3 linked regions of the Bombyx mori genome follow. The protein of the gene in region 3 purifies or fractionates together with the protein of the main gene of each other region. This does not show direct contact. Links are inferred from orthologs where the notes say so. Each region holds a gene or a part of one and is shown on either strand. Other genes may lie near its edges.

What was found.
Region 1: the proteins of uncharacterized protein LOC101743276 (region 3) and putative RNA polymerase II subunit B1 CTD phosphatase RPAP2 purify together in Homo sapiens (affinity purification with mass spectrometry; 3 studies listed by BioGRID and IntAct, counting the BioPlex papers as one, with this or other methods). This does not show direct contact. The link is inferred for Bombyx mori from reciprocal best matches to the Homo sapiens genes POLR2M and RPAP2.
Region 2: the proteins of uncharacterized protein LOC101743276 (region 3) and DNA-directed RNA polymerase II subunit Rpb4 purify together in Homo sapiens (affinity purification with mass spectrometry; 3 studies listed by BioGRID and IntAct, counting the BioPlex papers as one, with this or other methods). This does not show direct contact. The link is inferred for Bombyx mori from reciprocal best matches to the Homo sapiens genes POLR2M and POLR2D.

Annotation. Positions count from the first base shown.
Region 1 is NC_085121.1:1,512,554-1,523,783, forward strand, and holds putative RNA polymerase II subunit B1 CTD phosphatase RPAP2, read left to right. Parts: upstream 1-8,774; coding exon 8,775-10,577; 3' UTR 10,578-10,729; downstream 10,730-11,230. Other genes in the region: uncharacterized protein LOC101736188, read right to left, coding at 4,055-4,140, 4,667-4,816, 8,490-8,492.
Region 2 is NC_085114.1:9,603,523-9,615,116, reverse strand, and holds the start of DNA-directed RNA polymerase II subunit Rpb4, read right to left. Parts: upstream 6,375-11,594; 5' UTR 6,265-6,374; exon of another isoform or gene 6,256-6,264; intron 5,458-6,255; 5' UTR 5,091-5,457; intron 1-5,090. Other genes in the region: uncharacterized protein LOC119628842, read left to right, coding at 6,711-6,759, 6,952-7,191, 7,369-7,527, 8,488-8,636. UniProt on the Homo sapiens protein: Core component of RNA polymerase II (Pol II), a DNA-dependent RNA polymerase which synthesizes mRNA precursors and many functional non-coding RNAs using the four ribonucleoside triphosphates as substrates.
Region 3 is NC_085116.1:3,260,974-3,272,626, forward strand, and holds uncharacterized protein LOC101743276, read right to left. Parts: upstream 5,848-11,653; 5' UTR 4,522-5,847; coding exon 3,586-4,521; 3' UTR 3,397-3,585; downstream 1-3,396. Other genes in the region: SEC14-like protein 2, read right to left, coding at 2,255-2,317.

The sequences.
Region 1 (11,230 bases), on a different chromosome or scaffold from region 3:
CAACAATTTTACAAGCACGAGTACGTTGCAAATGACCCAAGTCACTGAATCGCAGTTATTCATACTTCTTAGAAGCCTTAAATACGCCCAACGAACATCGGCTCGGTAGATATAGTCAGACATTCCTGAGACGATATAAAAAAAATGCCTCATAATTTATACTTTAAGCAAATAACAATTCAAATGTATTTCAGATAAAGATGAATAGTCAGTCTCCCAAAATTTTGTGAGACTGTTCTCGTCATCATTAAGCTCATCGTTCGCACCACAGATAATACGTTCGCACGGTGTTGCCAGTTATTGAAATACATTAACGAAATAAATGGCGCGCTACATTGTTAGACTTGTAGTAAAATTCCATAGACACAGCCCACTGAGTTTCTCGACGGATCTTCTCAGTGGGTCGCGTTTCCGATCCGGTGGTAGATTCTACGCAGCACTGCTCTTGCTAGGTTCAGTGTTAGCATCATTTCGGTTTGAGCCCCGTGAGCTCACCTACTAGTTAAGGTTACGCTGAAATAGCCTCTCAAGGTTATCAGCTTAGGTAGGAAAAAAAAAAGAGTGAAATTCTTATTAGTGTGGTTGAATATATAATCGGTATCCTTTCTCTTAAAGACGAAAAGTCGAAAGCATCCTTAATACCAGATATAAATCAGGTAGACTGGTAGGCAATAACAAAATGAACATAAATATTCATATACCATTTATAATTGAAAATTTATAAAGTTTTGGTTCGGTTTTCGCGTATTGTAGGCATAATTAACGGTACGCAGCGGCTTGACCCTGACCCGGCATTGCTGACGACCACCAGCGACGGTAACCACTCACTATCAGGTGGGCCGTATGCTCGTCTACCTACAAGAGCAATATAATAAATTGAAACTATTTTTCAGGTTTAATCTTGCTCTTATTATTTCCGACGTTTATTACAGTTCTGATGCGACATTTGAATATTTTGTTACTACCGTCTGTTTTTGAATAAAAGATTTTCTTGCCTTAAATTACATTATTGTGTAAAAATAATATAATATAATATTAAAATGCGGCAAATATCACACGATCTTAATCATGTATGATCAGAACTATGGCTCGATAAACAACTAATGTGATCTTTTATTACAATAATAATTACTTATTTTATTTCAACAATAAACATAATAATATACTTGTGTAGTTCAAGCGAAAAATTCACTATTTATTACAGATCAACTATAAAGATAGAGTTGATGATATGATTGTTATCGTAGATTGAGTTACGCTCAATTTGATTTCAAAAATTGTGGACGTAATCATTTCAAAAGAAAAAATCCTTAACATGAGCCTCATCCTTGGGCAAAGCTTCAAATGATATGGATGTTTTTTATAGTTATTGCTTTGATCATAGTTTGCAAAGTCGTAAATAATACTGAATTTCCTAGTTGTAGACTTATAAGAAATCAAAGTAGAATCGATTTGCAAACGACAAAACCGAATGTTTTAAATGCAGTTTTAAATTTTCCGCGCATTAGTTTACCGTTTTTGAAGCTTTCGTGATTTAAGCTTGTGACGAACTCGTAATGTCATTTTAATGAACAATATTTTAAATTATAAGCCTTATTTATCAATAAAATTTAAATTCTATGCTATTCGGGACATGTAAGCAATAAAAAAAAAAAAAATCTGTTAACCTCTGTCGGTGAACACGGCAAAGATAAACTAAAAATAGCGCTCGGATATTAATTTTCTCTACATGTGTCAAACAAAAGTAATAAATCTCTTTTCTGTGTACACTTTCCCATATGCCATATTTTAGTTTACTCTGATTTTAAGCTAGACTAGTTAGGATTTTGTACACAGGAGAAACTTATAACGCAGATTAAACCTGTAACACAGGATAAATTCTTAAATTTACTGACGTCGAATGTGTATCGTTTGTTTAATAACTCAATTAACTTTTACTACGTATTTTGAACAGCCGTGGCATGAACTAGTTCGATTAGTAAAAGTGTATGGGCGCGAACGGCCATGACCGCTATTAATATTATAAAGGATGTAAGCTGTGGGGCAATGACATTCCAATATAATTAAGGTTCGAAATACCGCCTCAAGGGCATTGAGACGTAATGTCCGACATAAACAAAACTGTAACCAACCTTAAATCATGTATTTAAGGTTTTTTTTACCCTACCTAAGCTGGTAAGCCTTGAGAGGCTATGCCAGCGTAATCGAACGAGTAGGTGAGCTCTCGCGGCGCAAACCTGACGACGTTGCTAACACTAGCCCTAGCAAGAGCAGTGCTTCGCTGAATCTACCACCGGATCGGAAATGCGACTCACTGAGAAAATCAGACTATAAACTCAGTGGGCTGTGTCTATAGGTTAATTTACTCACTGAACCCTGAGTCGCAAGCTTCGACGTGAACGGTGACCGGTGCTTGAGGTAATTGCATAGATTTGAACCATTTCGTCTGATGTTCAGTAGTCAAACAGTTGAAAGTCTCCTACCAACTGGAGGAATGAGGTCGCTCTGTGTTACTAACGCACTGAACTAAACGAGTCCGCCCAACCTAGTTTCGTTTCAAACTTTCACAAAACTAATAGAATTACAATTTTTCCGTGCATTATACCAAGTTCCGGACAACGCCCGATCTAGAATAAATTAAACCGACTGACCTCGATGTAATGTATCGAATAAAGTTAATAAAAAACAAAAGGTTTAGCTTTAAAATACATATATTATGTATAATACTTTTACTTTTTAACTATGATTGACTCGATAGTACAGTAGTTAGCGACCTCTAACTGTTGCGCCGATGATCGTGGGTTCAATTCCCGCATCGGGCAAACAAAATTTTGATAAACATGTTTGTTTGCTCTTTGTCTGGATGATTATTATCTATATGTATATGTATTTATTTAAACGTAAATATGTATGTCAGCCTCTGATACCCATAACACAGGGAATACTAATTTGGGACCGGACGACCGTGCGTAATTTGTTCCCAGTTATTTATTTGATTACTAGAGGTCCCGCAGTAGTCGAAATTCGACTATAATCAATTGGAATTGTAAGTTTGTACACTATTATGATTGTATTTTAAACTTCTATAATCGCAAATTTCGCCAAGACTACACTATAAAAAATATTAACAAAGACAAACAATGTTTAATCTATTCTCAATTTGACCACAGACGTCAAGAACAAAAGTTTGACAATAAATAGTATGACGCATGCGTGTGTGCGTCAAATACATGGTATGTAGTGTGTGTGATGTTTTTTTTATTGATTTAATGTATCTTTTATGCATTATTTAAAAAAAATATTAGCATTGTGTACTTCTTCTCTATATTCTCTATAAGTGTGGAAAATTTCATACTCCTCCGTCCGCGGAATTTTCGTAAAAAGGGATACAAAGTTTTTGCTTCACGTATTAATATATAGATAACTCATTATGATAACCAAATATAGACCTTTTTTAATTTCACACGTTTTTTTTCATTAAACTATTTTTTGACAACCAATGCGATGTGGTTACTGTAGCCCATAGATACCGCAATTGTGATAGTGTGTTTTTAATGCTCTCGATAGCGTAAAAGTGAACTTAAATTTGTATGGAGTTGGAACGTTTGCCTAAGTTTGCCGGTAGGGGCGCTGTTCCAACTCCATACTTTGAGTTAACTTTTACGCTATCGAGAACGTTAAAAAACTCGCACTAAGCACACAGAACACAATCTCTCAATTCGATAACGAGATCACAATAGTATTCTATACGAAAACCAAACGTACCTGAAGCTAATAAAACGCAATTTTGCATGGTCATTTTTTCCCCCCTACCTATTCGCTGGCAGCCTAAGGGGCTATTCCAACTACAATCGGACGGATGGGTGAGCTCATGGACTCAACCTAAGAGAATTTGCTAACACTAGACCTAGCAAGGGGAGTGCTTCGCAGAATCTATCCCCGGATCGAAATCGCGACCCACTTAGAATACCCGGCGCGAAACTCACTGGACTGCATATTCGTCAGAAATCTAACGCCGTTTTGATCGGGAGTATCTATTGTTAAATAGAATTACCTGTCGCAAAGAAGGTTTCGTCTTTCATCCGATCTATATGGGTACAGTTTGTTGTGTGCCTCGCGCTGCACTTTGGCTAGGTAAACCTGAAATATTTGAAACACTATAAAACTTTTGACTTATTGAAATTAACACGAATTAAATCCTAAATTCTCGGACGACTTCCCTGTCGTCAATTCATTTAACTTTCCTTACTTAATAAATTAAGCGAAAGTGGCCATATTCATATAATTTTATTTTGAAATTAGTTCAATATGAACGGCTAGTTCAATAATCTTTGATATTAAATTTCACACTCTGGCGTTTCATTACAATGTATTCGCTTACTAAGAGGGACTTACTGGTGGTAGGACCTCTTGTGAGTCCGCGCGGGTAGGTACCACCACCCTGCCTATTTCTGCCGTGAAGCAGCAATGCGTTTCGGCTTGAAGGGTAGGGCAGCCGTTGTAACTATACTTGAGACCTTAGAACTTATATCTCAAGATGGGTGGCGCATTTACGTTTTAGATGTCTATGGGCTCCAGTAACCACTTAACACAAGGTGGGCTGTGAGCTCGTCCACCCATCTAAACAATAAAAAAAAAAGACAAGATCTAAAAGCTTTGTCCGTACCTTGGAACCTTCGAACAGGAGTGCCACAAAGAACAGCGCGATCCAGGTTAGGGCGAACGCCCACCGCGTGCTGATGATTAGGCCGGAGAACAGGAAGTCTCCGAGGTCGTAACCGAACCACATCCACATGTGCATCTTAGCGGTTTTTCTCTAGAGTAATCAGTGAGAGGTGTTCACTTTTTTTAAAGTTGTTTCCGCCGTAGCTTTACAGCGTAGCCTACACTTTATATCGCCGAAGCGGAGACCCTTGCTGGGTATCAGAATGAAAGATAGCCAGGGTTCAAATTAAGTACTAATATTAAGAAAAAAAAAGACTCACAAACCCTAAGAAATAAAGTGGGTGTTTTTTTTTACCTAAGCAGATTGCCTTGAGAAGCTATTTCACGGGGCTCAAACCGGAATGATGCTAACACATGCCTAGCAAGAGCAATGCTTCGCAGAATCGGAAACGCGACCCACTGAAAAGATCCGGCGAGAAACTCAGTGGGCTGTGTCTATGGATCAATTCGCTCGTCGAGCCCTTCGTCGCAAGCGACGGGTTCGACGAGGACGGTGACCGGCGCTTGTGGTATCTAAAAGCACCGTTAATTGATCGGGAGGATCCGTAATGAGTGGGTGTACTATGATGATGATGATGATGGATGGGAAAATGGTATTTGAAAGCCAACTTCATATTTTTTACTATAGTCGAACAGTAATTTATTCTAACTTCATTCTACTCAACTGGTGAAGCAGTGAACAGCAACCCTGACTGCTGGTCATGGCTCGATTCACACTTTGAGCAAACATTCATGTGATGAACAATTTTGTTGTCTGGGTCACTGGGTGTTGATACACATTTTTAATTTATATATTATATTGATATAATTATACATCAGTTTTCGATATCCATAGTACATAATTGGAAATCATATTTTGAGACTGATGAATTTGTGAGATTTTAAAGAAATAATGATAAAATTCATTTAAAACAGAAGAAGTATCTCAGAAAATTTTGAAGCTTTATTGTTTGTTTGATTTGTATTAGAACACACTACTCAGTTCTTTAATAGAGCTCTATAAGTTTTGCGTGTTTCTTGTTCTAAATTCTTATAATTTAATAAAATTTCTAAATAAATAAGATACCTTAAATCTAAGATGCAATTAGACATAAAGCACCCAGTTCTTCAAATGTTTACTTAAGTAAATATGTACATCAGAGTTGTATATTTCAATGTCAATGTAAATTTACCCTTTAAATAAGCAAATCAGACTCTAGCGGCTATTGCGTGTGTGTGCACAGATAGCAAATCCAAAATAATTCAAATCAGATTTTTTTTTAAAAAGGTTATCTATTTTACTTAAATCAATATGAGGATTTTTTATTATTATTTTTAAGTACCATAGGAGAAATATGGGTAATATTTTCACTTAATAGCAAATTTTGTTTAAAAATACTGAATCACACTAAAATCACTTACAGTAGTTCTCAAGCAGCTGAATGATAGTATTAAGCCTTGTATTATACTATTTTTAGTTTATAGAATCTAATTTAAAACAATACTGGGAACAATGGACAGTTATCTTTCATAAAATGTTGACCAAATTTTGTATACTAATCACAGGCCATTGTGATTGATATGATTCATGTGATTGTCTTGTCAATTCTTCAGTTTGAATTTATTTTTAATACAGCCATAGGTAAACATGGATGCATTCAGTTTACCAATAGTCTTTAACATCAGCAATATTTGCAGAACTTAGAATAAACCATTTATTGCATGTCAGCAGAGTTTCCTAGCACTCTCCTAGCTGTTTCAGCCACTATCAACATAATGTGAGGAGAGGATAGAGTGGCTATTCTTCCAATGCTATGAAGTCATTCAGAATCAGGATTTTTAAATTAACCAAGATTATAAAATGGAATGCCATGATTTTTTGGTTAATAAAGACTAAGAAAACCACCAATTACAAAACAAAACAAAAATTGGGGCCACTCTTACATAAACTCATACTGGGTGATTTGAGTATTGTATATTTATGGATTGATTTTTAAATTCCAGTATGTTTATACTTAAATTTTAAATAGTTTATTTTTATATTGAATGTGAAAATTATGTTTATAGTAGCGCTCAATGTTTTAAAATTTAAACTAATATATGTGTAATATGAACTGGGATGTACCATTTGGGTCCTTTGTGTTATATTCTATTTTAGGCTTCAACTTCTCAATATATACTAGTTTTTAAAGTAGGGCTTTATGTTTTGCTTTATATATTTTATAATCGTATTTCTATGAATAAATTAGAGCCTGTTAAGCTAAATCTTCATAAGTAAATATTATCAAATAGGAGAAATTCTAGTGGATCTGGTGAAGTGAATATTTGTTGGTTTAATTACATAATTAAGAAATAATTATTCACATTAGTCATTACTTTGTAAGTAGGAAAAATCCTTAATGTTCTTAATTCACAATTTTATTAAGTGAAGCACTAGTATAGTTTAGCGGTGGGCAGCGGCTTGAATCTGCCCCTGGCATTTCTGAAGTCCATGGGCGACGGTAACCACTCACCATCAGGTGGGCCGTATGCTCGTCTGCCTACAAGGGCAATAAAAATAAAACTAGTATAGAACATTGTAACTAAAATAAGACTGGCATATGAATACCAAGTTTTTGTAAGTTTAAAAAAAAAAAAATTATGCATTTTTGTTTAAGCGCTTTAAAATACAGGTATCAATAAGGACTCTAGTTCATTACATTCAAAATAATTTTAAATATGATTCAGTGTTCGTAGCACTTACCTACTACTTATCAATTAAACTGTATTGTCCACTTCAAATTGCTGCGTTCCATTTCTATTTACCAAATGCAATTTTCATATCGTTCGACACCAACAACGTTATCTAACTCATTGATAATTTTAAAAATAAAAGTAAATAACTTTATCATAACAGGCGCGCTCTTATCTTTTGAAACTTAATTTTTTTCACCCACTTTTGGGTCAGCTACAAATATTGCATCTGACTATAAATTATGATTTTAAATTGTATACCAAATTAAAGCCTAACTGACGAGTCTGAGAGCAATTTCTAATTAATACAAAATACAAATCATACAAATGAATTGTCAAATAGACAAGTCTGTTAATAAATACTAGACTAAAATACTATGGATCATTATGGATGTGTGTACCTAGTACGCAAGTATTGTCTAGTACTATACTACTGATCCGTTAATGTATATCCTGGATCTTAATAGTTTTATTAAATAATATCATGTCCAACGCTTAAACGACGCCAGTCCAATCCGTAATAACTTTGTAGGCTTATAGTTTCGGACAGATATTGTCCAGCCGAGCGGAACAGATAAATCAAACAAACAAAACCAAAGCTTTTCGAATTATTCTGAATAGTTGAAGAACCGTTTCGAAATAAACAATTCGGCTTAATATTTCCACGTGAGTTCATTCATACTTTAGTCTATATATGAAAACTATTCAGCAGTAGGCGAGCTGTATCCCATCTACTGATATAGATTTTAAAATTGCTTCAGCATAAGGCAATCAAAAATAAAACGGTTACAACTTGATGATTTCATAATTAAATCATTATGGTTACCGGAATTGTGGATTAAAAGACTTAAGATTTACTGACGTGTCCGACGGACTGAGGAACTAGTAAATAAAGCTTAACCTTGAGAGACGACTAACCAGACCGCCATTAATAATGCACAGGGTAAATAATAGTACCAGAATATGTTGAGGAAATCAGTTCAGTCTATTCCATTTACATAATCTATGCATGTCTAGGACCCAATCCAATTTAAAAAAAATCTAATACTAACCATAGATTTAGACACGTAACCTACTCCCAACCTGAGTTCTGAGTTTCTGAGTGAAATGAAATTGACATCTGACTTTTGCTAACATGAAAGAAAAAGCATTGTGTGAATTAACGTTGTAGGTACTTATTAACTCCATGGAATTAACATAATATATTAAGTGTATTATCTACGGTTCATGGAACAGACAAGGCTTATGGGCTTAGATCCTTTTGCCTTTCCTAATAAGGAAAAATTGTACCAAAAAAAATAACTATGGTTCTGATCTGAAATAAAAATAACAATTTTATGAATAAAATGGAAACAAACGTGAAGCCTCCTAAAAAAAAACCTACAACAATAGAAGACCTCACGAAAGAACAAATTCAACAAGCGATAATTAAGAAACGAGAGTGTAACTCAAAAGCGCAACATATAGTTGAAAGTTTTCTAGAAAATAGCATAAACGAAGTTTATTTCCTCAAATGCTTACCAGACCTAAACCAGTCTCATTTCGAAGATGTTATTGAAGAACGATCAATCATAAGTCTATGTGGTTACCCGCTCTGCTCGAACACATTATCCAAGAAAGACATACCGAAGCAAAAATACCGAATCTCCATGAAAACGAACAAAGTATATGATATTACAGTTAGAAAAAGCTTTTGCAGTAATAGTTGTTATAAATCTGCCATGCACATTAAAAAGCAGATGCTAACAAGCCCGCTTTGGTTTAGAGAATATGAGATAATCCCACAATTTAATTTATTACCAATGAATTCGGCAGATGGTTGCATGGGACAGGAGATTGATGTGTCAATAATTGACAGAGTGAAAGTAGAACTTGAAAACAAGCCTTTCGTAGTTACCAATGGTTTTGTAAAAGCTACTCTTAGAGATATGGCATCAAATAATGGTAAAGATGATGTATATAATAAAGCTACTGAGGAGCAAAATGAACAAAACTTTAAATTAAGTACAGAAAGTACTGAACTGGATGAAAAAGAAATGAAGCATAAAGACAGCGTAAATAAAGCATCAGAAGGGAAATCCTATATCTTAAATTCAGAATCAAATTCTGTTCAAACACAAAAGTATCTACAGGAAAAATCTTGTCCTGTATCAGTGAAGTCTGAAAATACTGATAAAATGAAAAAAGCAGTATACAATCCAATGAACATTGTCGGAGATATCATAGAAAAACCTGAGAAGAAAATTGATTTGACTTTACTAAGTGCAAAGGATGAACAAAATAACGCAAGCTCATCTCTATCTCAAGAAAAAAAGAAAGAGAAAAAGCCATTAGTGACTGTATTAATTGTAGAAGTGGAAAAATGTCTAGCAGAATGGTTTACTTTAGACACATTAATTTTTCTCTATGGCGAAGAGAAAGTGAGAGAAATGGTATCAGATAAAGAAGACAGTGTGAAAGAATATCTGAAAAATTTTACAAAAGGTACATTCTACAATTCCACAGCCTATGATCAATACCAAGCTTTATGCAGAAAACTTAATATGCTCGAATTAGAAGACAAACGTTATGATGCCAAAACAATGCAAAGGGAAATGAAACCGCTGCCAGATTACACTATACTACAGGAAGAAAGCAAGAAAATACAATTGAAAGTAAAGGCGTTTTTTGCTGGTCAAACTGAAATACCTGAACCAGAGCCTGAAGAAAAGAACACACAATCAGATGAGAACTTCACAGCTTTGCCATTAGTAGACAAGAATTCTCAAAATGCATTACGTAGACGAATAGTCTGTCAACATTTAAATAAGACCCTACCGGACATCTTGAGGTGCCTAGGTTTATTAAGTTTGGCCATAAGCACAGAGGTGCGTCTTTTGGTAAACACATTCAAATTGAAAGCAAATAATATAATGTTTAAGCCGATTCAGTGGACTATGATTACCATAATATTTATAAAACTTCTATCATTAAGAGATGTACACTTGGCACACTTATTGGAGCAACCAATGGCATACCAACATATTCAGTTGTTACTCTTGAGTTACAAACAAGATAATGGCTATTTAGATAGACTAATATTTTGGCTGACCGATGTTGATAGATTATTGAATACAAACAGTCACTGTGCTATAGAATGATTGTATGCATAATCTTACTGTAACATTAATGTAACTTGTGATATTTTAGATTGTAAATACTTGTTTTGTTCAAAACACTTTTTTTTAATTCAAAATATTGTTGTTTTAGTTTCATGGAATATAAACTTGCCAGAGTAATATTTATCAATAAACTCGCAAAATTTTTATTGCATTGATAATGCAGAAGCTCACAACTCAGCCAGTATAAAAAAAGGGTTCGTGTACTTATGTACGCTCGTAAGAAGTTATACTTTATTTTTATTAAATTTATTCCCTTTTTTTTTAGATATTAAATAATTAATAATAAATATTTAACGTTAATAATTTAATAATATTTAGTATGAATTATATTAAATAATAATTTTGTCATTTATATTACAAAAAATAATGCTGATAACACTTCTTTTTACGAGTGTACATGCGCGAAAGTTCACCTGCGGCTATATTCAGACCCGCCAAATTACGTCGGTAGATTTAGTGGGCAACTTCATTCTGTTAATTTTGTGTCACGGTGCGCGCGCATCGTAAAATTTCACTCTCATCAATTTTTCATAACGCGCCTAAAGAAGTATATATAACTTCAACAGTTACTGGACCCCATAAACATTACAAATTTAGATGCCATTGTGCTACTTGAGTCATGAGATTCTAGC
Region 2 (11,594 bases), on a different chromosome or scaffold from region 3:
TGAAGTTCGCGCGTAAACTTCGCTCGCGTCTCGTCACTTCGCCAGTCGCATTCGTTTGTTTTTTCACTGTACAGCGTTTGAGAAAAGTGTGTGCTTTTAAATAATTAAATACTAGATTATGGAAATATTAAAAGATAAATTGGTAATATTGTGAATAATTATAAATAAACAAACTTTATCTTGTCATGATGACAAATAAAACAAACATTACATTACTTTATCTAATGCACAAAAAAATCCATGCGACCGCCAAGTTACTCACCTGTATGAACAATGGCGCCGCCGAACCTACGGAACGCGAGACATCGGTGATATAATTGAAGTTTTAAAACGAAAGAGTTGTTTAAGATAAATGTAGAGATATATTTAAAAGAAGAACCAACTGTTTGTGTTGTAATAACGCCTATTATGCAAAGAGTGTTCATGGCTGGTTTGGCTGATGAAATGGTGTTTATGGATACAAGTGGATCTTGTGATCAAACAAATGCCTGTGTTACATTTATCTTTGCTGCAACGAAAATTGGTGCTTTACCTGCTGTTGTCATTTTGCACACAAGTCAATCTCAAGAAAATTATACACATTCTTTTCAATCTGCAAAAGATTATTTAGAGGAGACTTGCCAGAAGGTTTTTCAACCAAAAATCGTTATGACTGATGATAGCAGCGCAGAAAGGAATGCCTTACGAACAGTATCTCCAAACAGCAGATTAGGTACTTCTTTGCATATTTCATGTAAATCAAGCTTTTTGGCGTTGGTTGTGGCAAAGCGAACATGACGTTATTAAAGAAGATCGGCAATCAGTTATGAAGAAATTCCGTACTGTAATATATGCCAACACAATGCAAGAAGCCGAAATTAGAATGTCTGATTTATCAAATGAGGAGAAAGTTAAGAAAAATAAAAAGCTTAAAAAACATTTAACAAGTTTATGGAATCGGCGTGAGGAGTGGTGTTTAGCATATCGCTCTAATATTCTAACACGAGGGAATAACACAAACAATTACTGTAAATCCTCAATAAGAATTTTTAAAGACGTAGTACTGCAGCGCTGTAAAGTGTTCAATATGTGCGCGTTAGTTGACCTTATCGCGAATACCTTTGAACACAAGAAAAGGTTGATTCAGTTTGCCAATGGGCGGGCAAGAAATCTTATGTTAGCGTATGAAAAATTTTGCCAAGCAAGTAGTAGTATTAAGGATATTGTACACATGGATGACAATACCTATTTCGTGAAAAAGAAGACTGATCTGTATGTTGTGGACTGTGAATTGGCAACATGTGACTGTCCGTATGGTGCTGGGGGCCGATTTTGTAAACATATCTGCGCTGTAGAAAGAAAACATGGGACTGTACTTACCACATCGCTACATTTGAATGACTGTGATCGTCAACAATTTGCAAAATTCGCCCTGGGTGACCAGTTTTTACCGTCGTTCTTTAAAAATATTACGGGCACAAATAGTGAAGACAGCCAAACTGACTCTATTACACCAGATGATGTTGTACCAAACACTTTTGAACTTCCAATAAATCGAGCGGAAAACAGTGTAATTATAAACAATGAAAACTTTGACACTGCTATTCAAAATATTAAAGCTCAGTGGCAAAGAATTACTGATATCTTGGAAAAGGATTCAAATGCTGCATACACAAACATTCTTACAAAGTTTGAATCTGATTTGTCGAAGCTACAAACTCCATCGAGTATTATATCATTTAGAGTTGAAAAAAATGTCGCACGAAAATCTCGAAAAATTAATGTACAACCAACATCGCTCGCTCGCCGCAAAGAAAGGTTTACCATGCAGTGGAAGGATTCAATCAGGACGACCAGCCAAGTCAGAAACGGTGAAAAGAAAACGTGTTCATAATATTGCATCTAATATTGATGATAATGAGCCTCCTGCCAAAAAACATTAATTTTATAAAATTACTTAATTATATTTGTATAAGTACCTACGTTGATTGCCTGCAATACAATACCATATTCATACATCTTTGAATATATGTAGATATATTTTGATCCTAATAAAAGGTTAAAGACTTTGTTTGAGTTTTCCTGCCCATTCATTAAACAACACAAAAGTGCCTTCGAACAAACACGGATTTGTGGCGTTGGAGTCACTAGAAGTCTTATCAGGTTAACGTTGGCTTGCATCTAATGACTTTTTTTTTTTTTTTTTTTTTCCTACCTAAGCTGATAGCCTTGAGAGGCTATGTCAGCGTAACCCTAACTTTAGTAGGTGAGCTCACGGGGCTCAACCTGACGATGTTGCTAACACGAACCCTAGCAAGAGCCGTGTTTCGCAGAATCTACCACCGGATCGGAAACGCGACCCACTGAGAAGATCCGGCGAGAAACTCAGTGGGCTGTGTCTGAGAGTTAATTTACTCGTCGAGCCCTTCGTCGAAAGCGACGGGTTCGACGAGAACGGTGACCGGTGCTTGAAGTACCTAGAAGCACCGTTAGTGGATCGGGAGCATCCGAGATGACGTGTTTTGGGCGACGTCGACTGCTTTCCATTCTGTCCGCAGGATCGGGAATGTAGTTACCGGCGGCCACGATGAGAGGGTTCTCGTGTCGTGCCGCTTTATCGAAGTGGCGCATTGACGCCGACTGTATATACTTACTGATGGACTCTAAGTCCAGGTCGTCATGGAGGTCGACGTTCCTGACGAACCACGGGGCTCCGACGGCTATCCTGCAAAAACGGGATTGAATGATTTGGAATGACTTTAAGTGAGTGCGGGCCGCGTGAGCGAACACTACACTTGCATAGGTCATGACGGGGCGTATGCAAGTTTTGTAGAGTGTCACCTTATTTCTAAGGGACATTTTACTTCGCCTACATATCATCGGGTAGAGACGTCCTAGAATGAAGGCGGCACGGTCGCGTACCGTCTTGATGTGGGGGCGGAATGTCATCCTACTGTCGAGGGTGACGCCTAAATATTTGACCTTCGGGGCCCACGGTATGGGCTGGTCGAACATCGTGATTGGGCGAACGGCGGGGGCGGAGGTGTTGACGCGCCTAGTCGGGAGGGATGACGTTTTATACAAAACATGCCTTTTTATACCTGCAGTTGGTCTTGCAAACTGCAGTGAGTTGAGGGAGCAATTTTTGGAGTTTGCTGTTGTCGTTTTGTTTCAGCAGGCAGGTAAACTTATCATGTCTTATGTGGTATCATTGAATAGGTATTGAACTATCCTTTAACCTTATGTTAAAAAATATATGTATTTTTTTAAATAAAAAGAAGTAAATAATATTTTTCAAAAAATGTACAGATGTGCGATTTCATTGCACCCGAGTGTAGATATATTTTGATCCTAATAAAAGGTTAAAGACTTTGTTTGAGTTTTCTTGCCTATTCATTAAACACAAAAGTGCCTTCGAACAAACACGGATTTGTGGAGCTTAATCAAGGCGCATACTTGCAAACCCGTGCGCGATTGGAGGACGCGTACCCTGAATTGAACACGTGTTTAGAAGGGCAGTTGGCGTTGCAAACCCGTGCGCGATTTGAGGACACGTGCCTTGAATTGAACACGATTTTGTAAAGGAAGCTAGCGCGACAAACCCGTGCGTGTTTCAAGGCAGTACTGCCTCCTAATGAACACGGAAATGGAAATACGCTACCCGGTCGAGGGGGGTAACGGACCGGGTTATGTCGGACTCCGGCGCCTCCTGGCCTGGCCTCCTGAGAGGAAGAAGGGGAGAAGAGAAGGGCCGAGGTCCTTCACCTGCCCCAATTTCTCATAGGAGACTACGCCTTGAAAAAGGCGCGCGAAGCACTTACCCCGCAGAACGACTACCGACTAAACCCCATCGAGCTCCACCACACCGACTACACGAAACTTACGGTACCGCGATGCGCGCCGAAAGTCTCGCCTTAGGCGGTACCCGTACTAATGTTAAGACGGGATTTCATCCCCGGGAAAATCCCGTAGTCGTCGTGGCCTAACGGATAAGACGTCCGGTGCATTCGTGTTGAGCGATGCATCGGTGTTCGAATCCCGCAGGCGGGTACCAATTTTTCTAATGAAATACGTACTCAACAAATGTTCACGATTGATTTCCACGGTGAAGGAATAACATCGTGTAATAAAAATGAAACCCGCAAAATTATAATTTGCGTAATTACTGGTGGTAGGACCTCTTGTGAGTCCGCACGGGTAGGTACCACCACCCTGCCTATTTCTGCCGTGAAGCAGTAATGCGTTTCGGTTTGAAGGGTGGGGCAGCCGTTGTAACTATAATTGAGACCTTAGAACTTATATCTCAAGATGGGTGGCGCATTTACGTTGTAGATGTCTATGGGCTCCAGTAACCACTTAACACCAGGTGGGCTGTGAGCTCGTCCACTCATCTAAAAAATCTGTCTCTGTAATAAATTAACTTTTTAAACAAGATTTAAATATAAAACAGTAAAATTGCTCGTGTTTTGGATATAAAACTGCAAAAATATTCGTAAAATATCGAAAACCGAATCAGAGCACATCACTTTCCACCTGGTCTTGTCTGCCCTACCCCTAGAGTGTATATAAAAAACCGGAGGCGCGGAGGGAGAGCAGTCCTCGCCAATATTAGTTAGTATTTAAAGTATTAAGTACATTTTGGCAAAACTAGCTTCACATATCATTAATATTAATAAATTCAGTTGTCAGTCCTAAGCCTGAGAAAGCATGAAGGATTGTTTTCATTTAAAAAAATGTATTAAAACCATTTCATATGTTATAACTGTTCCTATAAGTGGACATATTCTATTTAAAACATTATTAAACCTGTTGCAAAACAAAACGCTGTTATATTGGAACAGGCTACTGGAACTGTTCTTTCGCTGGAACAGGAACAGGTGGAACAGGTCTCTAATTTCACCTGTTACAGACCATCCCTAGTTTGGACAGGCAAAGGGAGATTAGTCGATTTAGCAAAGGATTCTGTAATGGGAACTATCACGGAAAAAAGATTGCTCCAAAATCGCGAACAGTAGTTGGCTTATGTAAATTTTAACACCACGTTGCATGATTGAAAAATAATACCCACTAGATAAATTTTCCATTCTTACTTCTCAAATGAAAATAATTACCTGTGTCGAAACTATTCCAGCCTTCACACTTACACAATTATCACCTGATCAACTTTGACTACCGTGGCCCCGGCACATCTTACGTTCTTCGATAGTCTACCTACCTACTACTTCGATAGTATACTTAAGTGTCAATAAATTCCCACTATTTTACTGGAACATCTTTAATTTATTTCATCTTAACACGTTTCATTCCATTTAGTTTCATTAAATTTCATCCAGAGCATCCATTAGTCACGTCCACTGAACTCTCAGTTAATAATCCTTGTTTTACTGAGACGATTTTATTTCATCCCATTGAGGGAGTCCGTATAAAGTCCCTTCTTTATTTCGCGGGAAAATCGTGTTTTATGTAATTAACACCACACTTGAAACAATAGGAGTTTTATTGTTGCAGCGGCTTATACAGTTCTAAGTTATACCATTTTTTTTTTTCGTCCTTTAAATATTCAGCGGTAAAAAAAATTTTTTTGGGTATTTTATGTCCAGCTCAACTAAGACCTTTAGGTCATGTCTTATTTTAATTCATATTCTTAATTTTATGAAAAATTATATAATGGAAAGAAGTGAAATGCAATGAAGATGATTAATTTGAGACAATAATCAAGTAAGATGAAATTAAATATAGTGAGATGAGATGATATGGGATGAAATATAATCTCAGTAAAATGGTGGTCATTTAATGAAAGGACATGGGCCATTTTCGGCCCAGCTACTCGTGCCCTCAAGGACATTAATAAAATATCTATAGAAAAAAACATTTCATTTTTACATACTTATTATAAAATTTAAGGGTATTTTAATGGTGGGATAATCAAAAGCATAAATAAAAAGAAATACTTAAGCATGATTAAGCTACATTGATAATATTGAAGGAGCTGCCATGGGTAAAATATATTTATATTTTAAATAATTCATATTAAATCTTCTTAAAGAAAACAATGTATTACAAAAAACTAGCAAAATATATTAACATATTTAATCGATAAATATAAATAATAGATAAGCTGATGATGATGTTCGTTTAGTGGGGCGTGCAATGTATGGTCCATGTCCTTTTTTCAGTGGACTTTTTGGAGGATTCCGGGGAAGTTATGTTCAGCGGCTTTGTTGCATTTTCCCACATTTGTGAACTTTCACAGATATTAAACAGTTAATAAATCACCGTTATTACACATTTAAACCTGAAGAAATACTAAATCGACAAAATAAAACAAATCACACAACTTCACTCCTCGCGTTCCCGCCAAAAAGTCCCGGACTCCCGGCGGTAAAAAGGTCCCGTGTCACAGACTATCTTCTTTTTCCCACCTCTTGTGCGATCCGGCTTACGCATCATAAAACATCCTAGTTTCATATAATGTCACTCAAATTTAAAGACTAACATTAGTTAAGTTCATCTCATTTAGCTTCATATGAATTCTGATTTATCAGATTAGAATTTCTACGTGCTCTTTACGTAGAAATTATATTATAGCTGGACTAGAAGGTCTTGTAACCGCTGGCTGTAAGCCAATTGCAATATTGAAAAATTAAGAAGAACAAAAACACTTCAATTTTATTATCTACTTAGAGACTCGGCTAAAGATATTTATTTCAAATTTAAGTAATAAGTTCGTAATGTCCAAAACTCCAATAAAAGAATTGGCTATCAACTTTGTACCTAGAGGTAATTATTTACATAGAGTTTGATTTATAAACTATTATGGTTACGTTGCTGGGTATCAATATCACTTATTATCAAGTGGGCTGTGAGTTTGTCTGCCCATCATCGATTAAGAAGAAAAAGTTTAACAAACAAAATTTCTGTTGTCCATGTCGATTGAAATAGTAAGTAATTTAATAAATGATATTATTTCAGAGATTACAACTCCAAATAAAGACCAACCAGGCTTATCAAAGACTGTATTTTCACATGTGTCTTCGTTTCATAGTTTGTTAATTGATTGGGTCAAACTAAAAGATAAAGGTTCTAAGTTTTGTAAAGGGATCTCATCAGTGAAACTGCACGAGTATAATGATGATTATTATCCGCACCTATTGAAGCCATTGACTGAGGGCTTAGTTGAAATTATAGATAGCTTTCAAAATATTATCGAGGGTAAGTAAAATGATGTATGTTAGTCTAACAATCAACTACAATATTGGAGTATGTGAGACTACTTTTAATAATGTTACAGTTTAAACAATTTAATGGAATGGAATATACATTAACTTTCTAATCAATCTAATTCTAATGCAAAACTGAACTATGTCATATTTAAATGTTTCATTTCAGGTATAAAAATACTAAAAAATCAACTGGATTCACTATCAAAATTGCAGTCGACTGACCAGCCAGTAATTTTGACATGGTCAGTAGGCCGAATTCATGCTTGTGTTAAAAATACATATGAATCACTCTTAAAGGAGTACAAACTAAAAAAAATTGTGACAGGTGAAAATTATTATTATTTATTGAAACATACTGGTGGTAAGACCTCTTGTGAATCCGCACGGGTAGGTACCACCACCCTGCCTATTTTAGACGTGAAGTAGTAATGCATTTCAGTTTGAAGGGTGGGGAACCTGTTTTAATTATACTTGAGGCATTAGAACTTATATCTCGAGGTGGGTGGCGCATTTACGCTGTAGATGTCTATGGGCTCCAGTAACCACTTAACAACAGGTGGGCTGTGAGCTCGTCCACCCATCTAAGCAATGAATAAAAACAACATGCCCGTGATTACATTAGAATTCTAAGACAAGTATTCCCTTTTTTAAAACCATTCAATTCTATGCAGGCCTCCAAAATAATTAATAAACAAAATAAATAATAATAATTAATAGAAAATTTTTGGGATACAAAACATAATTTTCAGAAAATATCCGGCTTTATTTGCTACAGAATAGATTTCACATACTGCTTCCTGACAACTCTGTGATAACTCAATAATTTACATTTTTATCTTATTGGTAATTTAAGGTAAACATAATTCATCATCATCATCATCTCAGCCTGTCCATTGTCCACTGCTGAACATAGGCCTCTCCAAGTGATCTCCAGTGCAGCCGGTCCGTTGCCACCTGCATCCAACGTGACCCAGCGGTTCTTACCAGGTCGTCGGTCCATCTCGTAGGTGGCCGTCCCACACTGAGCTTGCCAGTACGTGGTCTCCACTCGAGGATCTTTCCGCCCCATCGGCCGTCCGATCTTCGCGCTATGTGGCCTGCCCACTGCCACTTCAGTGTGCTAATCCTACGGCCTATGTCAGTAACTTTGGTTCTTCTACGGATCTCCTCGTTTCTGATTCGGCCCCGTAGAGAAATACCAAGCATAGCCATCTCCATAGCTCGCTGCGCGACGCTGATAATTATAATTATAAACATAATTAATGTATATAATTTCTGTTTTCAGAAAACATAGCACACTGTAGAGATGAAAGCCTCATTGAAGTTTATGTTAGTTCTTGGGAATTTGACCCATATTTGAACATGGAAGAAAATGCTTATTTATTTGCAGAAATTGGTGTTGCTGGAATTTCTTCATTTAAAAAAATAATTTAATGCTCATTCGTCAGTATTGTCTATGTCAAGTCATTTTTGGATGTTTTAAAAGTCACAGACAATTTAATTATAAAGCTTTAAAGGCCTTATGACTAAGTGTAAACTTACTATTTTTATCTTGTACTGTAAATTGTACAATTATTTAGTATAATCCTATAGAAGTTTCAAATACAAAATAACATTTACTGATATACATGAGTGTAGTAGAGTAAAATTGACTGTATCTTTTCTATAAATTATATTGTATTAATTTGTAATAATTAAAAAATATGTAAAAACTTGTGTTTATCTTTCTAATTATATTTAGTAATAGATATAAAAAAATATGAGTAAAAAATCCATTCCCAAACTCGGAACAGTGATAAATTACTACCCTATCTTGGCTATAGAATACCATCTCTCATATTTACCCGTAAGTGACGCAAAAAGCGATTAAGAGAGTTACTGGAGAATGGGCAGCAGGGTTCTCTGACGATCGTCAATCGCCATTTACTTGTGGGTATGGGGTTTATAGGGAGGTATCACCATTTGGCCTATTTTTGTTGGGATGTTATCAAGAATTTCGGTTTAAAGGGTAGGACAGCCATTATACAACACAAATGAGACTGTTAACCTCATGATTTTTATGAGCTCTGGTAACCACTTTACACTTGTGAGACCGCGGGATGGATGTAATATGCTCTGTATTAATCCTGTCCCGCCGTCGCAATAGCCCCGACTGGGCTCCGGCCCGGTCTGGGGTAGGGCACCGGCTGTGAGCGGCAAGAGTTTTTACCGAGGTTTAACTTCCACATACCCACCTGCCGCGCGGTTGGGGATCCAGCGATTTTCTCCACAAGACTTGCTTAGATGGATGGACGAGCTCACGGCCTCTTAAGTGGTTACCAGATATCATAGACATCCGCAATGTAAATGCCGCCACCCAGCTTGAGATATGAGTTCTAAAGTCTCAGTATAATTACAACGGCTGCCCCAACCTTCAGACCGAAACGCATTACTACTTCACCGCAGAAATAGACAGGGTGGTGGTACCCACCCATGCGGACTCACAAGAGGCCCTACCACCAGTCTGAGTTAAATGTACTAATATTAAAATAATAATAATAAGTATAACAGTAGAAATATCTTACAACTTAATCTATGAAAGCGCTTTATATGGTCTACCGGGAAGAGAGTGGGCGATTAACCGTAGAACTCCTCAATTTAACCAAAAACACCTACGTATTGTTACAAAATTAGGTTCATGGTAAAAAGGTTCTGACCTCGACATTCACAATTATTGCCTCTAATTTACATAAGGTCAATTTAAGATGTGATATGAAAGCGAGGCTAGTCGTTGCCACGGCAATCGGACCCAAACAAACCTAAACGAACCACCGACTTAACTAAAATTTAATGCAGACCTTACAAATGAATCTTGATAGCTAACAGAGGTAACTATCTACACGAGACTTAATAATAAACTTAATGGCTCGGTTGATAAAATAGCTAGCAAAAAGGTGGTTGTTATTTTTTTCATAATTCAAACTTATGATCTTTCACTAAAGCGTGACTGTGTTATAATAACTCCACCGATGTACATAACATATTACGCTTTCAAGATAGTATATAGATACAGTCGGTCGGAACTTGTAGTGTAGATACATACCACAGCTTATGTTTTTAATTCTGCGCTAAGTGATCACCGAAGCCCTTTACTGGTGGTAGGGTGTCTTGTGAGCCCTGCCATGAAGCAGTAATGCGTTGAAGGGTAGGACAGCCGTTGTATAGAGCGCTGACTTTGAACTCATATATGAAGGTGGGTGGCGGCATTTACGTTGTTGATGTCTATGGGCTCCAATGACTCCGATGACTTAACACCAGGTGGGCAGTGTGCAAGTCGCTCCATCTCAGCAATAAAAAAAGGAAACCCTTGATCCGTGCGATCTAAGACTCAATTGTATTACATAACAGTTTTCAAATACAAGCACTGTTTCGCGGTAGAAATAGGTATAATATGGTGGCACTAATTACGCCCGCTACCCATTACATGATTAACGGTCCGTCCAAAAATGTGTTTCGGAACACCTATTAACCTATGCAAGATTCCTTAGAACAGTGATTCTCAACCACTGTTCCGTGGCACCTTTGTGTGCCGCCAAATCTCAAAAGTGTGCCGCCAAATTTTGCGAATATATAATAATGTTAATATTATTAAATTATATCATTTTAAAAGAAAAACATTTTAAACAAGAATATATATTTAAAACCACAAAAAAAAAATTATAGTATATTTTAGTTTATTTCGTATATTAAAATTTTTTGATAAACTATTTATGCAGTGTGTTGTAATAAGTAAATAATTCTTTTTATCTTTTTTTTTGTGTGCCGCCAAATTTTGAAATCGTTAAATATGTGCGGCAACAAAAAAAAAGGTTGAGAATCACTGCCTTAGAAATTCAAGATGAAATCGCGGTTTCAGGTTTCTGTAAGTTTTTCCTTATTGGCCGATAAATACACAAAATTCAGCTGTAGTAGATATACAGCTTGTATGTACATAGACACATGGATTGGCAAAACTATTAGGCCAAGTCCAGTGAATATTAATAAAAAATAATCCAACAAATCAATATTGCTTAATAGCAGATGTTGACAATATTTTATTACATACTGTTACGCGCTGGGGCTCGGGATATATAAATGTTTTACCAAGTACAACTAAAAACTGTATTGAACACTAAGACACTTCACAAGCACTTTAAAATTCTCAATTCGCTTCTTCCGCTTCGCTTCAGGTGATCCGTTCGCTATTTCGCTTCGAGTAGTTCCGATTACCTGAATCCCTAGAATCGTCGAGAATATTCCACAAAAGTAGAGTATTGTGTGATTCCGCTATCTGACAAAAGATGGCGTTGTACTTCCCGAGCGTTCTAGATGCTACTAGCCTTCGATATTCGTTCGACTATTCGGCGAAAGGTG
Region 3 (11,653 bases):
ATTTTCATAAGTTTCATAATCAATCTTCTCTCTGGTAGAATGCTTAAAGTAATATCAGAAGACTCTTATCAATCCCGTATTGTCTGGAAAGGTTTACCCCAGGGCTCCGTTTTAAGTCCCTTACTTTACAATATATATTCTCATGATCTGGAAGCCTCCCTTAGGGGTAAAGTTAACACACTCCAATATGCAGATGATTTACTCCTCTATGTCTCTGGTGATTCTATTGACAACATGTCTGATACTGTCACATATTCTCTTAAGTTGCTAAAAGTTTGGCTTGACAATAACTCTCTAAGCCTTTCAGTTCCTAAAAGTATTATAGTCTTATTTTCACGTATGAGGCTTCCTCCATCAGTGTCTGTATTTTATAATAACATTAGAGTTCCTGTTAAAAGTGAAGCAACATTTCTTGGGGTAATTTTAGACTCAAGACTTACAGGAAGCCCTCATTGCTACTATATAAGTGATAAATGTGAGAAGATTCTAAATATATTGCGTTGCCTCTCTGGAGTTTGGTGGGGAGCCCACCCTTTCTCTCTAAAGCTTTTGTATAATGCCCTAATAAGGAGTATTTTGGACTATGGAACATTTATACTTGAACCCTGTAATGCAGTAGCTCTCCATAAGTTAGACATTATCCAGTCTAAGGCTCTGAGAATAATTGCTGGGGCTATGCGTTCGAGCCCTATTAACGCTTTGCAGGTCGAATGTTCTGAAGCCCCCCTGCACCTCAGACGACAATTTCTTTGTGACCGGTTTCTATTTAGAGCATTCCAAGTTTATAATCATCCTCTTTACACTAAGTTACGGTCTCTGCTGGAATGTATGGATTATCCGTACTGGGCTCATAAATCGCCGCCATGCCTTATTGTTAGTCTCCAAAAGTACTTAGCTCTTCAAGCTCCTACACATAGATCACAATTCCTTCCAATATTTTGTGTTAACTATGATGCCCTAACTTTAAATCCATCTATTATGTTTGATTTCGGCCTAAGTAAACAAGATCTTTCTATCAATGCCAAATTTGTTGATATTATTGACAGTGACAGCCGATGGAAAAATTGTCATTTAATTTTTAGCGATTCCTCCAAACCCGGTCCCGAGGAGTGTGTGGGGGTCGGCATTTTCCATCAACAGTTTGGCATTGTTCAGAAAATAAAATTGCCTCCAGAGACTTCAGTATTTACTGGAGAATGTTTTGGTCTTCTGAAGTCTCTGGAGTACATTTTAATGATGAAGCTTAAAAAGTCAATAATTTTAACTGACGCTAAAAGTGCCCTCCAAGCCTTGGAACGTTTTCCTTTTAACAGTAACCGAAATAATCATCCTGTGATTATTGCATGTCGTGATTTATTGTATCAATGTTGCATCAAAAATTACACAGTTTCCTTTGCTTGGATTCCGGGGCACTCGGGTATCTTTGGCAATGCCAAGGCCGATAGCCTTGCCAAAGCTGCGGTCAATGATGGAGATTTGGTTCCGTACAAAAACTTTTGTTGTGATTTAGCTCTGCTTCCTAAATTCCAGTTATTGAATTCTTGGACTCACATTTGGCGTTCTTCAAGACAGACTAAAGGTCGATATTACAGCACGATCCAAGTGGATATACCTCCTAAACCGTGGTTTTCAAATCTGACGTTTGGTAAAGCTATCACATCGACCCTTATTCGCATGAGGCTGGGCCATGCATGCATTCCCTTGCATTTGGCAAGGCTTAACCTTTTGCCTAGCGATATATGTGAGTGTGGCAATGACGTTGGGGATTTTAATCATATATTCTTTGCCTGTCCTCGAAATGACCGTTCCGCTTTTATTTCCTCACTTTTGTCCATTAAAATTCCTTTTCCTACTTCAATTTCTATCCTTTTATCTAATATCAATATTGATGTATATAGAATATTAGCTAGTTTCATTTTTCATAATAATATAAAATTGTAACCATTTATGTACTTAGTTTATATAATATATATACCTGATCCTTTTTCCAAATTCCGTTCCAAATTCAAATCCAAAAAATAAATCCATTAACACACTTCCTAACCTTTTTGCGTGGCTGACGCACAAACCGTGCAGGCCAAGAAATGGGAGAAAAAAAAAAAAAAAAAAAAAAAAAAAATCATGACAATACCTCTTTTTTTTTCGGAACGTTCACTAGTTGGTGCTTCGTAAGAAATTTTTGCCTAAGTAATTCAAAATCGACAAACATAAAATAAGAATGAAATAATTAATTTAGAATTAAGTGTAGTCGTACCTTCATTAGAGCAAACCGTTGATCGTCATCAATTCCTACGACCGCGTTCGACATAGGAGCCATATTCACTAACTGTTTATTTTTATTTTGTGATGTTTCCAATTAACATAACACGCGCAACGTGCGTTTGCCGCGAGCTCAGCCGCCGTTGTATATTTGTGTTTAGTGCTAATCTGTGGCTGTCAATTACGCGCAACTTGTAGAACCCTTGTACACTCGTACAGCAAGTCGTAGATAATACACTGCGGCAGGCAAGTGTCGTACTGGCAAGTAAGTGGGTGGCAATTGATCGAATGGTAGCGTACTTGTTTAATAATTATATTATATAGAGTTATGCATAGTTATGATTATATTTTGTAATGGCGACCCACACGAAATATGTATGTAAAGTATGTATCAATATAAAGTTAGGTATACAGTATAGTATACTGTATCTCGCTATGAACGAACATGAACTCTACGTTTTATATAAAGCGTAGTTGAATTTTATAAAAATAACCGAGCAACCGCTAGTCGCACGACTAAGTATTAATTAAAATGCATATTACCTACATAATAGAAGTCAACACTGGGAGATATCTTCACTCTCAGCTGTGCCCTAAATCGTGTGTGAAGGGAACGAATGAAGGAATTAATTTATTACCATAATTTATAGACAGAAATGAGCATGTAGTTAATTAAATTAATAAATAAGTAACTTACTGTACTTATCATCTACCCTTTTACATGTTCAATTAAATGTAATTTAAGGGCTCCTTTTTGAAATTTAACAATACAACTCTTAAAGTGTATTTTATATATATCGTGATTGTTGTCTTTATACACATTTTCCCCTCATATTGGGTCTATCAAGCTCTGGTGAAGTGTATATCTAAAATACCATAAGTGTATATGTTAGGGAGCGACTTGCATTTACATCAATCTGATAAGCTTTATCCACAGGTTAGGTAGAATCTGGCGCCAAGTTCCGTTCAAAAATCCCGTTGTAAACGGAGCGCCAGACTACCGACTGTGTTTACTGTAAGCAGAACGGTTTTTTGAGGTTGCGAAATTTTATTTAATCAAATAATTACATACTTTACGCTTTAAGCTTATATCGGATTCAGAGTAATGAATTGTAAGGGATAATAATGAAGTATACATAAATAGACAGAAATTTATTATTATTGTTATTATTATACATTAAATCAGTAAGTACACAGTTAAATTACAATCCAGTCGTTTTCCTGCTATTTTGATCCCTTAAAAATGAGGACTGGCATGAGCCATGAAAGTCGTAAGTCTAACTAAGCTCTCATGAGAGAACTTGGTTCTAGAACTTAGTATGTATATTATTTCATTATGGTAAATATGACACCTCCTTTCTCAGGCTCCTCATCATGAACTTCTTTGTCACTGCCCTCACCATCAGACTCATAATCATCACTATTGGTGTCTCGGTATGAACCAAACCTTGATAAATCCAATGGCAACTGACTCATTTTGACTCCAGCCATTGAAGCCAGCCTCTCAGCTGCATGTAATGCATTCACCTCTTTAAGACGTAAGTTATGTTCTTGCTGGAGTTTTAATGAGTCTTCTATGGATAATATTTTTGCTGGCCCATGTATTGTAGGAGGAGGTGTGGCAGCAGTCACCTCCCATTTTTTACATTTGTTCTTTCCTCTTTGTATTTCCTTTTCTGGGTTGTGGACATCTGTGTTTGTGGTCTTATGTGGCTTAAACTGTCTCGTTACTTTGGCTTTGGTGTTGTGTTCCGTTTTGTTAACTATATATCTTACGTGGGGGATCTCATCTATCTTGATTAGATCTTCAGGGGTTATCGAAAGTTTTTCAGGTTCTAAAATCTTAATTTTTTTCTCATGGAATGAGTTCTGAGTCAAGATTTTTAGGACATCTTCAGGGTCACTGTCGTCATCTGAATCTAAATCTGTGGATTGTTTAATTGTACCTGTCCATTCTAATTCTTGTACGGATTGTTTGTCAATTCCATTCAGTTTCATATTTTCGAACATCCGACACGCATCTTCTTCCTCTTGCTTCGCTTTTAATTCGGATAAGATTTTATCGTACAAAATCTGTATTTTAGCACCTTTGTCACTTAGTTTAGATATAAAACTTTTATTGTTTAATAACTTAATTTGTCTATCTCGTAGTTCAAGCAACTCAGGAATAGTTTTTAACGATAGATCGGTGATTTTTCCATCGATTTCTGTTTTTGGCGGCGGCGGCAAGATACCAGGTATCCTTTTATTTATCTTGTTCATTATTTATATATTTTCAATTAGTTTTAACGCATTCACATTTTTTAACGATCTTAATTCCTGTTATTACTGTAACATTGACTAATTCTTTTTTTGTACTTACATTTGCAACAACTACTACTACATTCACATGGAATCTAAAAGATTTATATAGGTAAAAATACTAAAAATACTGGATTTGGTTAACTTTTTGTGGAAATAGAAAACACTAGCTGTTTGTTTGTCACTTTTGCCCTTTTTTGTTATTTTGTCAACTAGGACAAAGGAAACATAGCCTATTCAACCTTAAATTGTGAATTCGAACTCATATTGTGATTTAAACAAGAAGTGAAGTGAAATGAAGTATAGTAGAATGCAACAAAATTAAATAGATATAACGTTGGTAAAATGGAGAGAAAGTATATTTCGTGAGATTTGTGTAAGAATTCGAAAAGCCATGAACTTAAATTAAATCCTTTTCCCCCTCATCATCATTATAGTCGGTTGCTCTTGGCAAAGCAGTCGTGGTCATGTGAAATTGTTGTTTATTAAAGCCTTGACAGATGTTTTCCATAATTTGCAAACCCCACTTAACGAGTGCGTGCGCACTCGTTAAGTGGGGTTTTAGTAAAGTCTTTCACCTGATCAGTCCAGCGCATGGAGATTTGTCCACGAGATCTCTTACCATTTACTCTACCCTGAACAACAAGTTTCTCGATAGACTCTGCGGGCCCTACCTATTCGCTATGGAGCTATTCCAATTACGCTATGGCGGGTAGGTGAGCTTACGGGTATTAAACTAAGAGAGTTTGCTATCAATGACCCTAGCAAAAACAGTGCTTCACAGAATCTACTACCGGATCTCGGGATCGCGACCCACTGATAAGATCCGGCGAGAAGCTCATTAGGTTGTGCCTTGACATCGTCCTCTATGATAATGAAAGGAAATAGAGCTTATACACGGAATACTTCTTTGCTGCTTTGAAATTTGCATCTATTGAGTTTGATCTCCAAAATGACCTTCCGCATTTAAAATATCTTTACTTTAAATCAATTAAGTAAAATCAATTCTGCCAAACATTTTGTGTGAGGTTTAGGGCTGCCACATCCAAAACCTTGGGTTTCAAAGAGTGTCGCAAAAATCCAATTTCCATAATGAAAAATAAGTGAAGTGGCATAGATACTACATTTTTTTGTGTTGCCCAGCAGTTGGAGCATCAGGTAATGAATACTCCAAAGGGTCCCACAAACAAGTTCGAAAAGGAATGACGGCGAGTAGCGAAAGAGTCGCGGGCGTACACTCGTGTGTATGCTTCGGGGGGCATTTAAACGGCAGGCTTACCTTACAATAAAAAGTGAGTAGTCTGTGCCTTGCTAAGTTGTTGTTGCTTCTTATTGATGTCTTATCTATGCTTGCTATTTAAGACGTTTTACTGAGGACTTTTTGGCAGGAACGCGAGGGGTGAAGTTGTATAATTTTGTCTATTTGGTATTTCTTCACGTTTAAATGTGTAACTAGATGATGACCGAGCTTTGCTCGTTTTTTTTTTGATGACGCCATCTTGTTGTGTCTTTAAATAGTATTATTATTCGCCAATAGATGTCGGGAAAGTTGATTATTGTAAACACGAATAAAACAAAATTTTCTGAAAATAAATCGTAGCTAGATCGATTTATCGCCCCCGAAATCCCCTGTATACTAAATTTTATGAAAATCGTTGGAGCCGTTTCCGAGTTTCAGATTATACATATATATATATATATATACAAGAATTGCTCGTTTGAAGGTATAAGATAACGGTGATTTATTAACTGTTTAATATCTGTGAAAGTGCACAGATGTGGGAAAATGAAACAAAGCCGCTGGACGTAACTTCTCGGGATCCTCCAAAAAGTCCACTGAAAAAATCTCAGTAAATGAAGGTAAATGACCACCAATATTATATATCATAGATTATATCTCATCTCATATCATCTCATTTAATTTTATCCCAGTTGATTAATGTCTCAAATTAATCATCTTCATTTCATTTCATTTCACTCCATAATACCATTTTTCATAAAAATATGAATATAAATTAAAATAAGATATGATCTAAAGGTCTTAGTTACCAGGTCATAAAATCCCTTTAATAAAAAAACGTTTTACTGATCTGTGGTTAAATATGTCATAGAATTTAGATCATAGAGTAAACACATATTTTAGATCATAATTATCTAGAAAAATATTATGTACACGAGTGAAATTATACAAATTATAAACAATGCGCAAGTCCAATGCTTAGTTAAAATATTATGTAGGAATAATTAGTGTATAAGTTATGTGATCCAAGAATTCTAGAACACCAAGAGATCTAAGAGTAAAGTAATTTAAAGGAACAGATTCAACACTCAAGAGACATGGAAGGAACGGTATTCTAAATAAATAATCATACTTTGCATAAATTTTCATTTATCACCTGATTTTCATCTAACAAGTACCCAAGTATTACAAACTAAAAGTATCATAAAGATCATTTAAATGATAATAATTTGACTCAAATTAATTGTACCACAAACTATATAGATGATTTTATCATTGAAATGAAAACAATGACCAAATGAACATAAATAGCACACGTTTTCTTACTTTATCCTTTTTTGAGGTACAGGATGCTGGGAGCATACACTGGTTGGTTGTACTATGGTGACTCTTTCAATTTAGTCGGGAAATCCAGTTTGATGGGTAGAATGTCTAACATTTTCATGTTTCGCATTTTGAAAGGGACAGTCGAATCCATAAGCTGTATCTGGTTAAATACTGAATGTTTCACTTTGACAACAAAGAATCATAGCAGACAATTTTTTCAATGGCCAATATGTGAAATTGGCTATATATTTAAAAAATATACTTGAATTAGTAGTGTAGCAGTTTAAAGATTTTTTTTGTCAAGAAGTAATGCTTTTCAGTTTGAAGGGTGTCATGTTGTATCTATGAGCTCTGGTCACCACTTAATACCAGGTTGGCTGTGAGCTCATTTATCTCTTTACTTATGAGCTATCAGTTCAGTATCAGAAAACTTGTTAATCATTCATTGTGGAAATCATTCTTGAACATTTATGAACTGAGAAAAAATTGTATTAAAATCCTTTATAGTCATTTCATTGAATACATGGTCACTAGCTGCTTTGCCAACTTTGTTGTTTTATCTGTAAACATACTGGAGACCTGATGTTGAATGGTCAAAGTTACTCATAGATGTCAGCAAAGCCAGCTAAACCACTGTCTTGCTAAATAAGGCACAGAGACCTGAATGAGAATGAATGTCTCAGAAGGCAATGTTAATGCTCCCAACACAGTAGCAGAGACAAAGTGTGAAGTGAGTGTGTTTACCCATTAAAATAAAATAAAAAGTAAATACAACTCTGATGCTACTGTATTAACGAATTCATAAAAAAAGATTATTTATCATGGTGACTTAAAACCCTCTTTAAAACATTACAATAATGTTTAACCAAATTTAAATATGCTGTACAATACCCTATGTATTTTATTTTCAGGTTCCATTACATTTGGACCCAGTCCACCAGAATGAAGTCTGTGACAGAAGATTATGGATCGGGAATCTAGACCTGAGAGTCAATGAGTATGTTTAAAATATTAAAGTAATTTTCAAAGATAGCTATAAAAAAGAGAATAAATGTCTCTATATAATTTCATAACATAAAATTATAAAAGAGTTACATTGTTTTATCTTCTCATTTTCCTCCACCTTATCCCACTAGGTGAGGACGGCACAGCTAATTTTTCTCTTCCATTCTCTTCTATCAGCCGTCATCTCAACACTCACTCCTCTCTCTTTCATATCGTCAATCACACATATCCATGTCTTCTTCGGTCGACATCTTCTCCCTCCCTCTACCTTGCACTACCATTTCCATACATCTTCTAGTCACATGCATCTTCACTTTTTTTTTTTTTATTGCTTATATGGGTGGATGAGCTCACAGCCCACCTGGTGTTAAGTGGTTACTGGAGCCCATAGACATCCACAACGTAAATGCGCCACCCACCTTGAGATACAAGTTCTAAGGTCTCAAGTATAGTTACAACGGCTGTCCCACCCTTCAAACCGAAACGCATTACTGCTTCACGGCAGAAATAGGCAGGGTGGTGGTACCCACCCGCGCGGACTCAGAAGAGGTCCTACCACCAGTAATTACGCAAATGATAATTTTGCGGGTTTCATTTTTATTACACGATGTTATTCCTTCACCGTGGAAGTCAATCGTGAACATTTTGTTGAGTACGTATTTCATTAGAAAAATTGGTACCCGCCTGCGGGATTCGAACACCGGTGCAACGTTTCAACACGAATGCACCGGACGTTTTATCCTTTAGGCCACGACGACTACATCGTTCTCTCTACGCATCACATATCCATACCACGCTAACCGTCCGCTCCTTAACTTCTTGCTTACCGGGGCTACTTTCACACTTCCTCTGATATACTCATTCTTTTCCATTTCTTTATCGTACCAATAAAAGGCAATATAATAAAACATCAATTTTTGTTCATTACCGGTATCAATTACTGAAACTGGTCCGCGTCTATGGGAATATTGAGAAGTTCGACATGCTGTTCCATCGTAGCGGACCTGCAGCCGGACAGCCGAGAGGGTTTGCGTTTGTTACATACAAATTGAAACAAGATGCTGTTAAGGCAATGAACTCATTGAATGGACAGTTACTAGGCTGCAAAAGGATATGTGTCAAATTTGCTAAACACACTGCTGTAAGTATCAATTAACTGTAACAATTTTACATATTATATTAATGCTGTAAAGTTGTTTAAGTTCTATGTGTAGTGCATATACTTTGTAGTTATTTTATGACCTAACCTTGTTGGTGAACTACTCGATTCAATCATGAAAAATTGCAGATAGCAAATTTTGTATTTGCAACCATGATATACTGGGTGGTTTTATAAATGAATTTGCAATGTGCCAGAGGCGAAATTTAACATACTTAGAAACGGGTATTTAAAAATACTACCTAGTCAAAATTTCATAAATTTGATTTTCAAATCTCTCAATATTTAGATTATTTTGATGACTCTTTTAATGAGATGAAAGATGAAATCAATAGTTACTTTACAAAAATTGATTGGTTTTCGTTATCATGCTGTCTTGTCCTATAGTTTGTAATGAACATTGTTTACTTAGCACATTTGTCCTGATTAGTTGTGCGCGCATGCCTTTTGTTACAATTTTTATTTTTTTATTGCTTAGATGGGTGGACGCGCTCACAGCCCACCTGGTGTTAAGTGGTTACTGGAGCCCATAGACATCTACAACGTAAAATGCGCCACCCACCTTGAGATATAAGTTCTAAGGTCTCAAGTATAGTTAGAACGGCTGCCCCAACCTTCAAACCGAAACGCATTACTGCTTCACGGCAGAAACAAGCAGGGCGGTGGTCCTACCCGCGCGGACTCACAAGAGGTCCTACCACCAGGGGAAAACCAACAAGCCCTTTTCTTTACTTGTTATTTATTGTGTATATTTTCTTTTTAGCTTGTAATGTGTATCGTGTGCCTAATAAATAAATAAACTAATAACAAAGTAATAAAATGGTTGGCAAACAAGTATGATAAATGGTTCAAGACAAAATCTTAAATAAATTATAAAAAATCTGTTAAACTAGTAGTCAAATCCGAATTCTGAACTACTTTGCTGAAAAAATGGGTAGGATGGTGTTGCTACTAATAGACTGCAGACACAGTGTGATACAAATTAGCAACAAATTGCCGTTTTCGCTTTAATAATGGTTCCTTTAAACCTGTATCTCGCCCTCAAAGAATAAACATTCACACAATTTACTATCAGCACTTACAGCTTCTGACATGAGGATTTAGAAAATAATTAACTTAAAAAAATATTCACAGGATGATCAAGATAAACCAAAACCAGAGCTAGGTATACCGGCGTTGGCTGGTGCAAAACCAGAGTTTAAACTCAGCAAAAAGACAGCCATCCAATCCATAGAGGCTAAACTCAAGATGATGGAGAATATGAACCCCGGTGATGACTTTGTGATCAATAAATTAGCCGCTAATGAGACTCCAATAATAACACAATACCAGAATAAAGCCCTGCAACCTCCAAATAAAACGGTCAGCTCGTTTCGAAGACGACACCCATATCATAAGAAGAGATAATCCATTAGGAATAGTAATAAAACTACTTGTTTAATTTTAGTTTATCAGTATTTCATATTTTAAGGGTTTCATTATAAGATATTTGTAAAAGTAACACATTTTCAGGTTAAAAACTGTTATTTTTAATAATTCTCTTATTATTATTGGCTTGATTTGTAACTATGTAATTCTAATCTTGAAAATCTGCTTTAAACTACCCTGATCTGATCATTCTAGTATCTATCTGAAACCTTTCCGTTAGTACCAGTCTAATGACAAGGGCGGTGGGTGATATTTACGTTGTGATGTTTGAGATTGAGTACATCTTGCAAATTTAATAGAAAAAAAATATGTTGAAAATTCTTACGAATACTTATGACAGTTTTTACATAATGATATCTAAAAATAATGGTTCACAAAATTTCAGTCAGTTAAGGAATTGTTTTTTTTTTCATGTAAATTAAATGTAGTAATCATTACTGTAGCTGGTTATGGTCTGAATATTTAGTAAGTTATTCTGTTTGGTTGTAAGCTAACTTAATTTCGGTTTAGAATTTTTGATATATGCATTTTTTTTTTTTTTGTATAGATACAAATTTTTTTCCGTGCATGATGTGTTTTCATTCAAGGCAGATACTACGTTAAAACAGCCACTTCATTTTCTAACCCCTAAAATTATAATATCAAAAAATACCATATTATTTATTAGTCAGCAGTTGTAATCCTTTACAAACTAACGATTTTAATTTTCTTATTATATATTTCTCAAAAAACATAAGACTCAACTGTAATCTTTTTTGTCATAATTTATAGGAATTAAGTTAAATTCAGTATATTATTTCACAAACAATGAACCTGCAGCTTATGTGATGTGAATGTAGTGTGATCTCAATAAAATTACATTGATGAACAAGTGTTGTTTCAAAATGAAAATCCTTATTCCATAAATATACTTTATTATATTTTTTACAGTCAAT